Coturnix japonica: one gene and its partners. The protein of the gene in region 1 binds, or shares a complex with, the protein of each later gene. Links are inferred from orthologs where the notes say so. Each region holds a gene or a part of one and is shown on either strand. Other genes may lie near its edges. The genes, in order: CNOT10, CNOT7 and CNOT8.

Region 1 (3,649 bases):
AAGAATTTCTATTTAGAATATCAACAACAAATTTATACAATTCCTATCTGCAAGAGGCAAACGTGCATTTTATTCACTGGCAAACATTCAACAGCTTTACATTCAAATACCAAAACATCAGCACATAAAACAACAAATTAATTAAAATAATTTAACCTGTAAATCCCAGACAGTTACCTGTTCAACCAATAAGCAAAAGGTGATAGTGAAGCATATTGTTTCTTCACTCATTTTCCCAAAGAGCAGTACTGGGAAATAAAACCTCACTGATTTAGACTGTCTTGCAGACAAACAAATGTAAGATTATTAGAGCTAAATGCCATTTAACAAAATTATGTTAAGATGTAGGTATTGAAACTGGGATTTTTCTTAGGTCAGTTTCTCCTGTACGTGGATCTTAAAAAAAAGGGTCAGTTAAATTCATTTTTCTGACCTACAAAATGAAATTGAAGATGACAATATCACAATTCATGCTGAGCTAGATTTGAGGCAGGCAGCTCTCAGTTTTAAGGAAGACTGAATGGATATTCTTGTACAAATCACACACACACCCACCTGATGTATTTTAGATTTAGCAGCTTCTATTAAAGCTCCACTTTCAGCTTTTTGATTGGAGGAATCTTTATTTGTATTATTACCTGACTGTCAAAAGAAAACAAAAAACAGAAATAAATAAAAAAGCATTAGGAGCTTATGAAGGAAACCGTAAACTGAACTTAAAAGGTGATTGGTAAAAACAATCTCTTTTAATGATGAAAACTGATATTCAATAATGTTAAAAGAAAAACAAACAAATACAAAAATGTCCATATATTCCACCAAAAACTTGTAACTTAAGCTTTGCAATCAAAACCAAAGAAGGAGGACATCAGCCTATGAGGTACAGAGCTCTATATGAAGGTTAGCATTACGCTAATCTGCTCCAGCATTGAGGAATTCTAAGAATGCTCTTATTCAGAAATATAGTTTGCATGCTCCTGATTCTCTTCTCCATATTTTCTCTGGCAGAACTATTATATACTCAAAAATAAAGTTGTATCTTAAGTGTGACATTTTATCAACAGGAGAAGACAAAAGTGTCCACTTTCCACTTCCAAGCCACTACCCATTCTATAGTAGTTTCCAAAAGGTACATATCAAAGATTGCATTTGAAAGCCCACCTCATACTTCCAGACAATACATTAAAGGAATTTTTGACTTCTCACCCTGTGGCACTAATTTCACTGACATTTCAAACACAGAGTATCACACAGTCGTCATCTGGGACACCAGGAAAACCAAGTATATTTGGCACTGAAGACAACTGACTTTCTAATATAAGTCTCTGACTTGGGACACTTCTTAGCTCTTGGCACAAAAAGGGTGGGAAGGAAAGAACATACAGCTACTGTACACAATTAACTTGGTTATTAAAATGTGGCAGTTGTCTGAAGTTACAGATATCTTAACAGCTTTAAAATTCTGAACTATTTTAAAAGACTACTTTTGGATTTAATAAAAACATACCTTTGGTAAAGACAGCGGCATTCATGCCATTTTAAGCTTACCTCATTTTTTCCATTCTTGCTGTTATTGTTGCCCTGTGAAATCATTTTTTCCAGGACAGCAAGGAGATGCAAGGCCTTCTCAGCCTGGTAAGTCAGCAGGTATAAGTCCACAAGCAGGAAGCACACAGCCTGGGCAAACTTCTCCTCTATATCAAACAAAAGTAGATCAGTATTAGGACTGTAAGATCCTTCCTATCTAAACAATCACAGAACAAAAAAAGCAATAATTAGAAAACCACTTTAACAGCTGCAAAGTGCATCTACACAATGTTATGAGAAAAACCAAATACTAAATAAGAAAAAAAGATAAAAAAGCAGACACCTACATCACACAGACAAGTATGTTAACACAAAGAGGTAATTCTTTCATACCCATGTCATCTGAAAGCAAAGACCAAAGACAGCTTAAAAATCACTTCACATTGATTTTGAGTACTGATCTAAGCACACTGGCACCAAGGATCCAGCGTCTAAAGAGACTGATGGGCCATAAGCCTATACAGAATCTTACAGAACTTAAGGATTCCATACAAACACATCTCTGCATGGCTGGTTTCACAGAGTAAGCTCCACACAGGCATACTGAGAACTGAGGGAGAAACAGCATTATACTTACTGGATTTGTTGAGACCCACACATACAAACACTTCATCCCTGTTGCTTCATAAAATACCTCCTGAAGTTGTCAAATATCTGTTTTAGTTTTGTTATACTCATCTGCTAAGTGTCTCTGAAGCACCTTCCCACCCAAATTCAAATGCTGTCCTTATAAGTAAAGATTACTCATCATTCCTAAGCCTGTCTTTTTTTTATTACTATTATGTACGTTTACAAGTCACTTTTCTGATAAGCAGAGGAAGATCATTTACTCTGCCTCGTTACTGCACAAACAAAACTCTTCTGCCTACACACCGAAAGGCTCTATAAACTGGTACAGCTTCTCTCCAACTGATATAGCTTCAGTATACTGACGCAGATGATACAAAATAACAGCTTGATTGTAGTAAAGCATACTATTTTCAACATCATCTAAACCATCCATTTCTTCAACAGCAGAGTGAACCTGAAAAAAAACCCAAAACACACAGAACTGAATCTTGTTTATCCTTAAGCTTTCCAAACTTATGATGTTAAAGCATCAAATGTTTATTATAGAAAAATAATCCAAAGGTACTAATGAGCCTAAAGATAGGGCAGTAACAGTTACAAGTTAACAAAGGGAAGAGGCAAAACTTGTCTTCCTATTTCACTGGAAGATCCCATCCCCATTAACAATGCTTAAATATCATGCAGTGGTTGCATTACCTGGTTCTTCAGCTGGTTCAGGGTTTGTCTCAAATTGTCTGTTGTGGTCTGGTTACTTTTACAAAACTCTGCAACTGCAGTATTCAAAGTTATTTTGTAGTCATCTTTGTTTATGTCTTGAAGGGTGTTCAGGTGTTGCAAACAGGCATCATAATTTCCCGCCTGGAAACAGCAGGCATCACAAAGGGATTAGTTTAAACTTTGTATCCTCTAATAAGTCAATAATTTTTAATGGCAGCCTCCTCCTCTCTCTGAGTCTAGAGAGCAATGTAGGATTTCCCTGACCAACACAAGTAAACAGCTCCACACCAACTCCATTTGTCATGCAGACTGAAATGTATGAGAAGCAAGTCAAAGCTGAGGTCCTAACTAAAACTGAACAAGAATTCAATGGAGAAAGAACAAATAGAACAGTTAACTATTACAAACATGTTTCTACAAAAACTGTTGTTCTTTTGGCGTCATTATATCAAGCTTCAAGATTCTTTATTTCCTCAGTTTCCACAATCTGTCTCCATCACACGTACACTGAGCAGCTGCCTGTCTAACTCGTGGCCCACCTTTTTATGTTTGTCTCTCACTTCATCTTCAGACTGAGTTCCAGTTTAGCCCCTGGATGTCTGCTTAACACAGGCCGGCAGAAGAGGAAGGTTACACACCTTTCCTAACTTTCCCAAGAGAGCCTTAATTTATGTTGCTGAATGAATTATTCAAGAATATTATGCTCACCTTGAGGTGCCATCCAACCCAAGCCATTCTATGATACGATTCTATGATTCTATGGAAATGTACGCAC
Region 2 (3,649 bases), on another chromosome or scaffold:
TCACAGGTGGACCACATCATAAGCAACATCCTCTACGTAACCCATGACCAGCTCAACAACATCAACAGTTTCAGGAGAGGAGAACAGCATTGTGATGAGCAAGCCAGATTACATCACAGCACTTATATTTCATCTGCTGTTTCACTAGCAGTTGTTAGAAACTCACAGTCGGCTTTTTTCCTTTATAAAAAAGGCCACGTTACAGCAAGTAGAAGCCTCAGCATTCAACACTAAACCCTACAAAAAGATGAGGCTCGCTATCGCCACTATTAAATGACACCAAATTCCTGGCAGAATGTCACATTCAGATGCCCCAGCATTTGTCCAGTGTAACTGCTTTCAAGAAGCCTGTTTAGAATTTGTTTATTCTGCTCATACAAAATATCCTAATATTCTCCCAATGCATGCAGACAAGTAGCATGGACACACAAAGCTTACAAGTCTTGATTTCCCTTTCTGCAAAATTGACTGACATGTTTTAGAATCTGAGTTATTTTGTCTGTGCTTTACCAAAGGTGAACTCAGGATGAACAATTGCATCGTTCTCTGCAGCAGCCTACAGGTTTAATACATATGTACCCCGCAAGTTTTAGCTGGAAGCAGCCAGCGCAGGCAGAGCTGCTCATTCCCTGCTGCTAGGCCTGGCACAGGCAGCAGTGCACACCAGCTGGGTATTACAGCTCAGCAGAAGCTCTGCAGAAAAGCAGCCCGAATACAGTTACCCAGAAAAGAGCCTGGCTCCAGCAGCCACTTTGCAGAAGAAATCCTGCAAAACAGGCAATGGAAAGAAAGAAACAACAACAACAACAAAGCCAGCCATACAATGAAAACAAGCAGTGATGCTCACAGTAGCTAAACAGGGAAAACAGTAGGGCTGGTTTACACTTAGTCTGGGGAAAACACAGTCTTAAGTCTGTCAAGAAAGCAGGGGCCTCTGAAGCCCCTTAGAGATCACCATAAAATTCATCAGACGTAACAGAATCAGCAATTCCATCTATTACAGCAAATTACTACTATGGAGACAAAACCAAGACACGTGCACCTACTTCTCTCATTTTGAAAAAGGCCATTCCTGTGAGCAAAGAATCAGATCCTGCCTGATGCTGTGGTCCTATCCTTTCCAGCTCTAACTGCTCAGCCACTTCTTGCAATCCACCCTGAAAATGAAAACATTTGTTAACTGCTGAAAAAAAAAATGAAAACAAAACCAAACATCAGTATTTGGGAAGAACTTGTTATACCAGACTTTCAACTTCAGCATATTTTAAATGCTTGCACAGAAGCTTAAATAGTCTCTTTGATGGAAGATAAAGCTTTCTCTATCAACAGTTGAATTCAGTTCCATCTCAGAGGAGCTTAAATCAAGCAGCGCCTGTGTCCAATAGAACTACTACTGCTTCATGTTCCATCCTCCCGAGGGAACAGACGCTGCTACTTAACAAAACAATCCCTTCAAGAGGTTGCAAGGACTGGCAAAGCTGAAGAACAAAACAAGGTGTTCCTATAACCCTTCTATTTGAATGAAAGTTTAAACAGTAAAAATGTCATTCTACAAATACAAGAATTCAAGTTCTTACAAATGGGTGCTTTGTTAAAAGTATCCAGGCTTCCTCTGAAACAGACTCATTTTCTCTTCCACTTTTTAACAGACCATTTGAGGGTTTTTCAGTTCCCTTTATAAAAACTAGGAGTATCCTTAAATATCTAGGAAGCTACAGGAAAATAAGGAAAAAAAAACAACCCAAGTACACAGCCCAACCCTACAAGACATTCTACTCATCTTTAAAACTTGTTCCATTAACTGCCTCAAGAGGGTAGGAACAAAGAACATACAAATGATGGATTTCTGTTTTGCAAGTTGTTTTTTCAACACAATGAAAACCAAAGACATAAGTCAACTTCCTCTCAGAGATGTATATTTAACAATCACACCACATGGAATGAAACTTACCTCTTACAGAAGAGTATAAGCATCCCACATGCAAAAAGGAACCATTTAACACTCACTGCCTGAATGCTGACACATGGTTTGAAATAACATACTGAAAAGGTACAGAAATCACTGCAAACCTACCTGCCCCTATAAGACCTATAATAACCATTTACAGAAGCAAACAGTCAGAAATTTAGTTTGGTTTTATGTAGATACATCTATCTTTCAAGTGATGTGCATGATACTTCAACTGTGATCTTTGTAAACTGTGGGAATATAATTTTGTACTATTTAAAAAACATTAAGCCTTAAATCCCTAGAAATGCACTAAAGCATGTGGCATGTGCCTTATAGTCCAGAAAGATCAAAAACCAAGGAGAAAAGGAGAAGCCTTTAGTGAAAATACAAGCCTTTGCAGGGTAAAAACATCACACAGACAAAACGATCTTAAATCAATACTGCCCAGCATCTGAGGTTACCTGTGTCCTCAAAACCTTTAGCCTGTTTCAACCACGGAAAAGGAAACAATAAGAGGTAAAAGTATAACAGTCAGTGTTAGAATTGATACACTAACAGAAATCTGACCAAGAGGTCAGACCTAACATTATGAAAATTTCTATGAATCTAAATGCAACACATCTTAAAAACAAATCTCCAGTAATAACATTCCCAAGTAACACCAAGCAAACCAACACGGTACTGGCATGTCTAGCTTTATTCTAGCTTGAACAGGTGAGTATCACTTGCTTAAATTTGAGAATTACCCTATATGTAGTACAGTCAAGCACTGAAGTTTGTTTTCTTCCTTTGCTTAGAGATAACATTCAATCACTGCATATACACTAATTCAGTGGTTTAAGTTAGACCCTTAAGGAAGTTCAGGGATGATGGGCAGAAAATCAATCAGATCTCAAATAAAAGCACATTCTCTACAACCTAACTTTCCTATTGGCATTAGCAACAGCAGTTGCCTTTCCAAAGCACTATTTGCTGTTTGTAAACTCTTGACTTTCCCAAGCTGACACTTAACATCGCCTCATCATTACGTAGTGCTAGCTGTTAGGCTATCTATACCAGCTTCACTTAGCACCTGATATCACAAATCAGTACTATTTACACAGTGGCTGCAAAATTTATAGGAACAGCAGCAAAGCAAAGAAGGCTTTGAAAATAACCCTTCCAATACATATAGTCACCAGTAGATACATTTGTAAACATATCATTACAATTGCCTCCAAAGATTATTAGGCTACTGAAATTTTATTACAGGAAAGACTTCACGCTCTACATAAGAATATTTAACTTGTGGGGAAGAAAGGCAGTAGAAAGGGATTCAGAAGAAAATGAAAGAACAGCCTATAAATCTACTTTAGAACTGCTATTACTGCAAAAACTGTATGGAGTTGCCTGCATGAAAAGATTTTTAGACCCCAAGCAGGAATTTAACCTGTACTACACAAGTACCTCGAGTTAGTCACAGTCTGCCTGCTGTGTAGTACACTGATGTCCATTTTTGTTAGAGTAGCATACTGTGGATTCATTGTAAGAGCAGCAAACAGTTTCCACATCCTCAAACACTTGTCTTATCAATGCTAAAAATTCACTTTTGGCTATGTGAGGGCAGAGGTAGGTGGGAAGCTTAGAGTAAGTCTGTTTTTTGTATGAAAATAACTTATAAAAGTCAATAAAGGACCACTGCACAGCAGTTCAATTCTC
Region 3 (4,135 bases), on another chromosome or scaffold:
GGTAACCTGGAATCTGTCAACAGCTTCACCATGTAGCCGAAGTCATAACCACTGAAAACAAACATAGAGAAACCTGATAAACAACACCTGTACTCAGCTGGTATCAGTGTTACATTCGTCTCATTAGGGTGTTTTTCTATACTTACAACCTTCTTTTCCATAGAGGAAGATAACAGCAAAACACGCACAAAATACAGATCACAGAAGGTGCTGAGATAAAATGAAGTACCAGTACTTAAAGTTCGCCTTTACAATTTAAAACTTATATTAAGAACTGCACAGCTGCTAAAATCCATCTCCTTAAGGTCTGTTAGTCTCTATGGTCCAAAGCAGCACTATTTAAGCCAAAAAGAGGCATCTTGTTCTGTAGTACCAGTAATCACCTCAGACCTACCTGTGAAACGACAGCCATTTCACGCTGTCACTAAGGACGACCCCTGAAGTCATGAGCAACTCAGCAAAATGCAGGGTATCAATCCCTTCTTCTTCATGCTTCTGGAACTGCAGCCCAGAGCTTGCAAGGAGGTCTATGGAATCCTGAGAGTACATATCCTCCCTGAAGGAGAAAAGCAGAGCTTTGCAGTCAGGGTGCTAACAAGGAAGGCTCATTGCCAAAAGATTTCTCACAAGTTGCATTTTGGAAAATCAGAGTGACCTGCAGGCAATCCATCTCTGAGCTCCATGGCTGTGTCTCTAGGAAGCTCAAATCACTTTTAATACCATTACTCCTATGCATTTAACAAGCTATTCTGCAATCTTAACCAAATATTAATTCTGTCGCTATTGCCAAACCTGAAGAATGCCATAAAACCTTCACACAACAGACATCTTGAAAAGTAACACTGAGGGAACAGAAGTGCCACAGATGATGGGAGAGAAGTCAACAAAACTCATATCAAACACGATAACTTTGAGTCACAGTGTCAATAAAACTCAAACCAAACATGATAACTTTGAGTCAAATAGCGTTCAGTGTCAAAACCTCTTTGTTATGACTCCAATGCTTTTAGGAGGCTGACAGTTGTGCAAGTAAACACTGCCACTTCTGTTTGCAAGAACTGCATGATCAGCTTATAGTAAGTATATAGTAAGTATACATGCATTTAATTGATTACATAAAATATATGGAAATGTATAAAAAGCACGTAAAGTTTGAGATCATAACATCATTCCAGAAATACTGCAATGCCTGTCATGCCGGCATTGAGCCTCACATAATCTCTTCTGGTGTTGCTCCCTAATGCAGAAGACTCACGTGAGGTTGAATTTGAAGTTAAACTGCCAGGTGTTGATCCCAGAAGGATACTCTCCTTTCTCGTTTGTGAAAGTCAGGCCCAGTTGGATGATTTTCAGAAGGTCCACATTACAGCGAAGAAGCTGATACTGATAGTCTATGGAACTGCGGAATTCCCCAATCGGCCTTACAACAACCCCAGGAAACTCCGTGTCCTAGAAAAGGAAGAGGAAACCTTATGGCTGCAAATCAAGGCAGACCCTAACGACAAAGCAAGCAATTTGTGCTCTCAAGTCAAATGACATCAATTGACTCAGAACACACAAAAACTTTCATAGAGGATCCAGCACATGAGAGAATTTTTGCCTTCACATCTTCCTGTACCCACTGCCTCAGCACAGCAATTACAACAGGCCAGAATGAGATGATATTGAAGCAAGGCAGCTCGTTTCCAATCAACATACAATATGAAATATGTAGATACACATTTACTGTTTACTTACACAACTTTGTTCTGCGCTGAATTCTATGCGCTCTGAAGGCACGTGTATTTTTACATCATGCTTTCATTACAAATTTCTCTCCTATCTTTGAGTTTAGCATCCCCACTCAAAGCTGTCATAACCACCACAGAATCATCGACTCTGGAAAAGATCTCTGGGTCCAACTATCGTTAGCCCCTATTCCTTGAATAAGACAAATGAGTCAAGCATTTACCATTGCGATGTAGCTGTAACTCAGCACAATCTCTCGGATTTTCCTCATCTCCTCCTCCAGGTTGTTGGCCCACACCTCACAGATCACCTGGCTGTTCTCCGCCAGGGCTGCTGGCATCCTGCCGGGCACAGGGCACAGCCAGCTCCCCCCAATCCTTCAGATGGCCGCGTTACAACCGAAAGCTGCGAGATCTAATCAGTGTGCTGCAAGAAACAGACAGAACGGAGCTATGAGTGAAAAAAGAGCTAGAAAAAAGGAACGAGCTGCACAATACAGCACAATACAGCACAGTACGGCACAGCACAGCACAGTACGGCACAGTACGGCACAATACGGCACAACACGGCACAATATGGCACAGTACGGCACAATATGGCACAGTACGGCACAATATGGCACAGTACGGCACAATATGGCACAGTACGGCACAATATGGCACAGTACGGCACAATATAGCACAATACGGCACAATATAGCACAATATAGCACAGTACGGCACAATATGGCACAGTACAGCACAACACGGCACAATACGGCACAGTACGGCACAATATGGCACAGTACGGCACAATACGGCACATCATCACCACCATCGGCCTCCCCGAGGCAGCCGCCAACAAACAACGGCCCAGCGCCGCCCCAGGCCCGGTTGAGGCCTACACGACCCGCGCCGCCTCAGGGCAGGGGCCCACCCGGACACGGCCGCCACCGCCGCCCTCCACCGCACCGCGAGAGGCCCCGCACCTACCGGGACCTACCGGGACCCGCTGGGACCCTCCGTGCCTCCCTTTCCCGTCCCGTCCCGCCCCGCTCTCCCGCTGCTCCGCTCCCCATCTCCTTCCCCTCCCCCAGGCGCTACCTGCCCTACCCGGAAGTTGTGGCCGTGCCTCTCTCTCTCTCTTCAGCGCATGCGCGATGACGCCTCAGGCTGAGGTGGGATTTCCGGGTTTGGAGCTTTGTTCTCGCGAGATTTCCGGTACAGCCTCAGCGGCGCGCGGTGCGGTGTGTGGTGGCGCGCGCTTGGTGCGCGCTCCCGCGGAGGGGGAACGGGGAAAGCTGCGCATGCGCAGTGCTGGTGTCCTTGTGTGTCCGGCCGTGACGTGGCGCTGCGCTGTGACCCGGTGTATAAAGCAAAGCAAGGCATCCTTTAATCTTAAAGGCTGTAAATCCCTCAGATAGAAGCTATATCTGAACTGAACGGGGGTTAAAATGAACGCTGACATTGCACAGTTCACTCTTATCGCCTGCTTTAGCATATTAGATGAATTATGTCACCAGAGCGAGCCTAAATAACATGCAAATAACCCAAATAACTGGGCAACCTGTATATGGGGTAAGTGGTGCAGATTGGGGCCATATCTGCATCAAGTTACACCTCGCAGTGCTGTAATTACAGGCGTTGTGGTCTATAAGTGCATTGAAACACCACTGAGCACAACCACATCGGAACCTGTTTGCATCTCATCCCATAGACAGGACCTATAGACGGAGCTTTGATGCAGGGACAGCTGGTGCAGGTTATATATGTAGTGAGATGTGCTGCTGGCTTTACAGACTGCCCCGTAACTCACACGCATTGCACAAATGCGCCTTTGAGCCATTCGGTTGCATTGGCATCAGCTGCTTTGTGCTGAAAACACTAGTTAGTTTCTGGTAGAAATGACTTATCGTTAAGGTATAGCTGCCTTTTTTATTCACATATACAGCCATTCAACCCTGATGACAAACTCCTACCTACAGAGATGTATTCTGAGCACTGGGCTGAGTGGCAACAGGGAGCAGTGCCAGCACTAACAGTGACACGGTGCTGGCTTCACATGACTTGTCTGGGAGGGGACAGCCAACTCCTGCTTGGAAACACCCCGCTGTTAAACCCTCATAAAGTCTCCCCAGCAGTAGTGAAAGGTGAGGAGTTGTACTGTGTACAAAGGACCTCTACTGGGCTACAGCCAGCAGGAGGTGAGCAAAGAGACGGAGCTCAAAGGTATCGTGGCTTAAAAATACCCGATTGAAACCTTAGAAATAACTAAAGGGCAATGTCCTGTGTATGTTTAAAATACAACTGTAAGCTTTTCCAGGAGCTGTAATTGCCTTCTGAGCTATGCAGGGCTTGGCACAATAGGGGAGCCACCAGACACAGCATCTAGTCCTGTATCTGACTGTACAGCGTGGCTGATGCACAGC

The links.
Region 2: CNOT10 (region 1) and CNOT7 share a complex: the UniProt entries of both Homo sapiens proteins name them as parts of the CCR4-NOT complex. The link is inferred for Coturnix japonica from reciprocal best matches to the Homo sapiens genes CNOT10 and CNOT7.
Region 3: CNOT10 (region 1) and CNOT8 share a complex: the UniProt entries of both Homo sapiens proteins name them as parts of the CCR4-NOT complex. The link is inferred for Coturnix japonica from reciprocal best matches to the Homo sapiens genes CNOT10 and CNOT8.

The regions. Positions count from the first base shown.
Region 1 is NC_029517.1:37,323,420-37,327,068, reverse strand, and holds part of CNOT10 (CCR4-NOT transcription complex subunit 10), read right to left. Parts: intron 3,016-3,649; coding exon 2,854-3,015; intron 2,612-2,853; coding exon 2,461-2,611; intron 1,695-2,460; coding exon 1,549-1,694; intron 643-1,548; coding exon 556-642; intron 1-555. UniProt on the Homo sapiens protein: Component of the CCR4-NOT complex which is one of the major cellular mRNA deadenylases and is linked to various cellular processes including bulk mRNA degradation, miRNA-mediated repression, translational repression during translational initiation and general transcription regulation.
Region 2 is NC_029519.1:56,948,008-56,951,656, reverse strand, and holds part of CNOT7 (CCR4-NOT transcription complex subunit 7), read right to left. Parts: intron 1,158-3,649; coding exon 1,047-1,157; intron 1-1,046. UniProt on the Homo sapiens protein: Has 3'-5' poly(A) exoribonuclease activity for synthetic poly(A) RNA substrate. Its function seems to be partially redundant with that of CNOT8.
Region 3 is NC_029528.1:5,997,920-6,002,054, reverse strand, and holds the start of CNOT8 (CCR4-NOT transcription complex subunit 8), read right to left. Parts: upstream 2,912-4,135; 5' UTR 2,820-2,911; exon of another isoform or gene 2,531-2,819; intron 2,155-2,530; 5' UTR 2,069-2,154; coding exon 1,952-2,068; intron 1,450-1,951; coding exon 1,256-1,449; intron 557-1,255; coding exon 395-556; intron 52-394; coding exon 1-51. Other genes in the region: FAXDC2 (fatty acid hydroxylase domain-containing protein 2), read left to right, coding at 3,694-3,935, 4,021-4,135. UniProt on the Homo sapiens protein: Has 3'-5' poly(A) exoribonuclease activity for synthetic poly(A) RNA substrate. Its function seems to be partially redundant with that of CNOT7.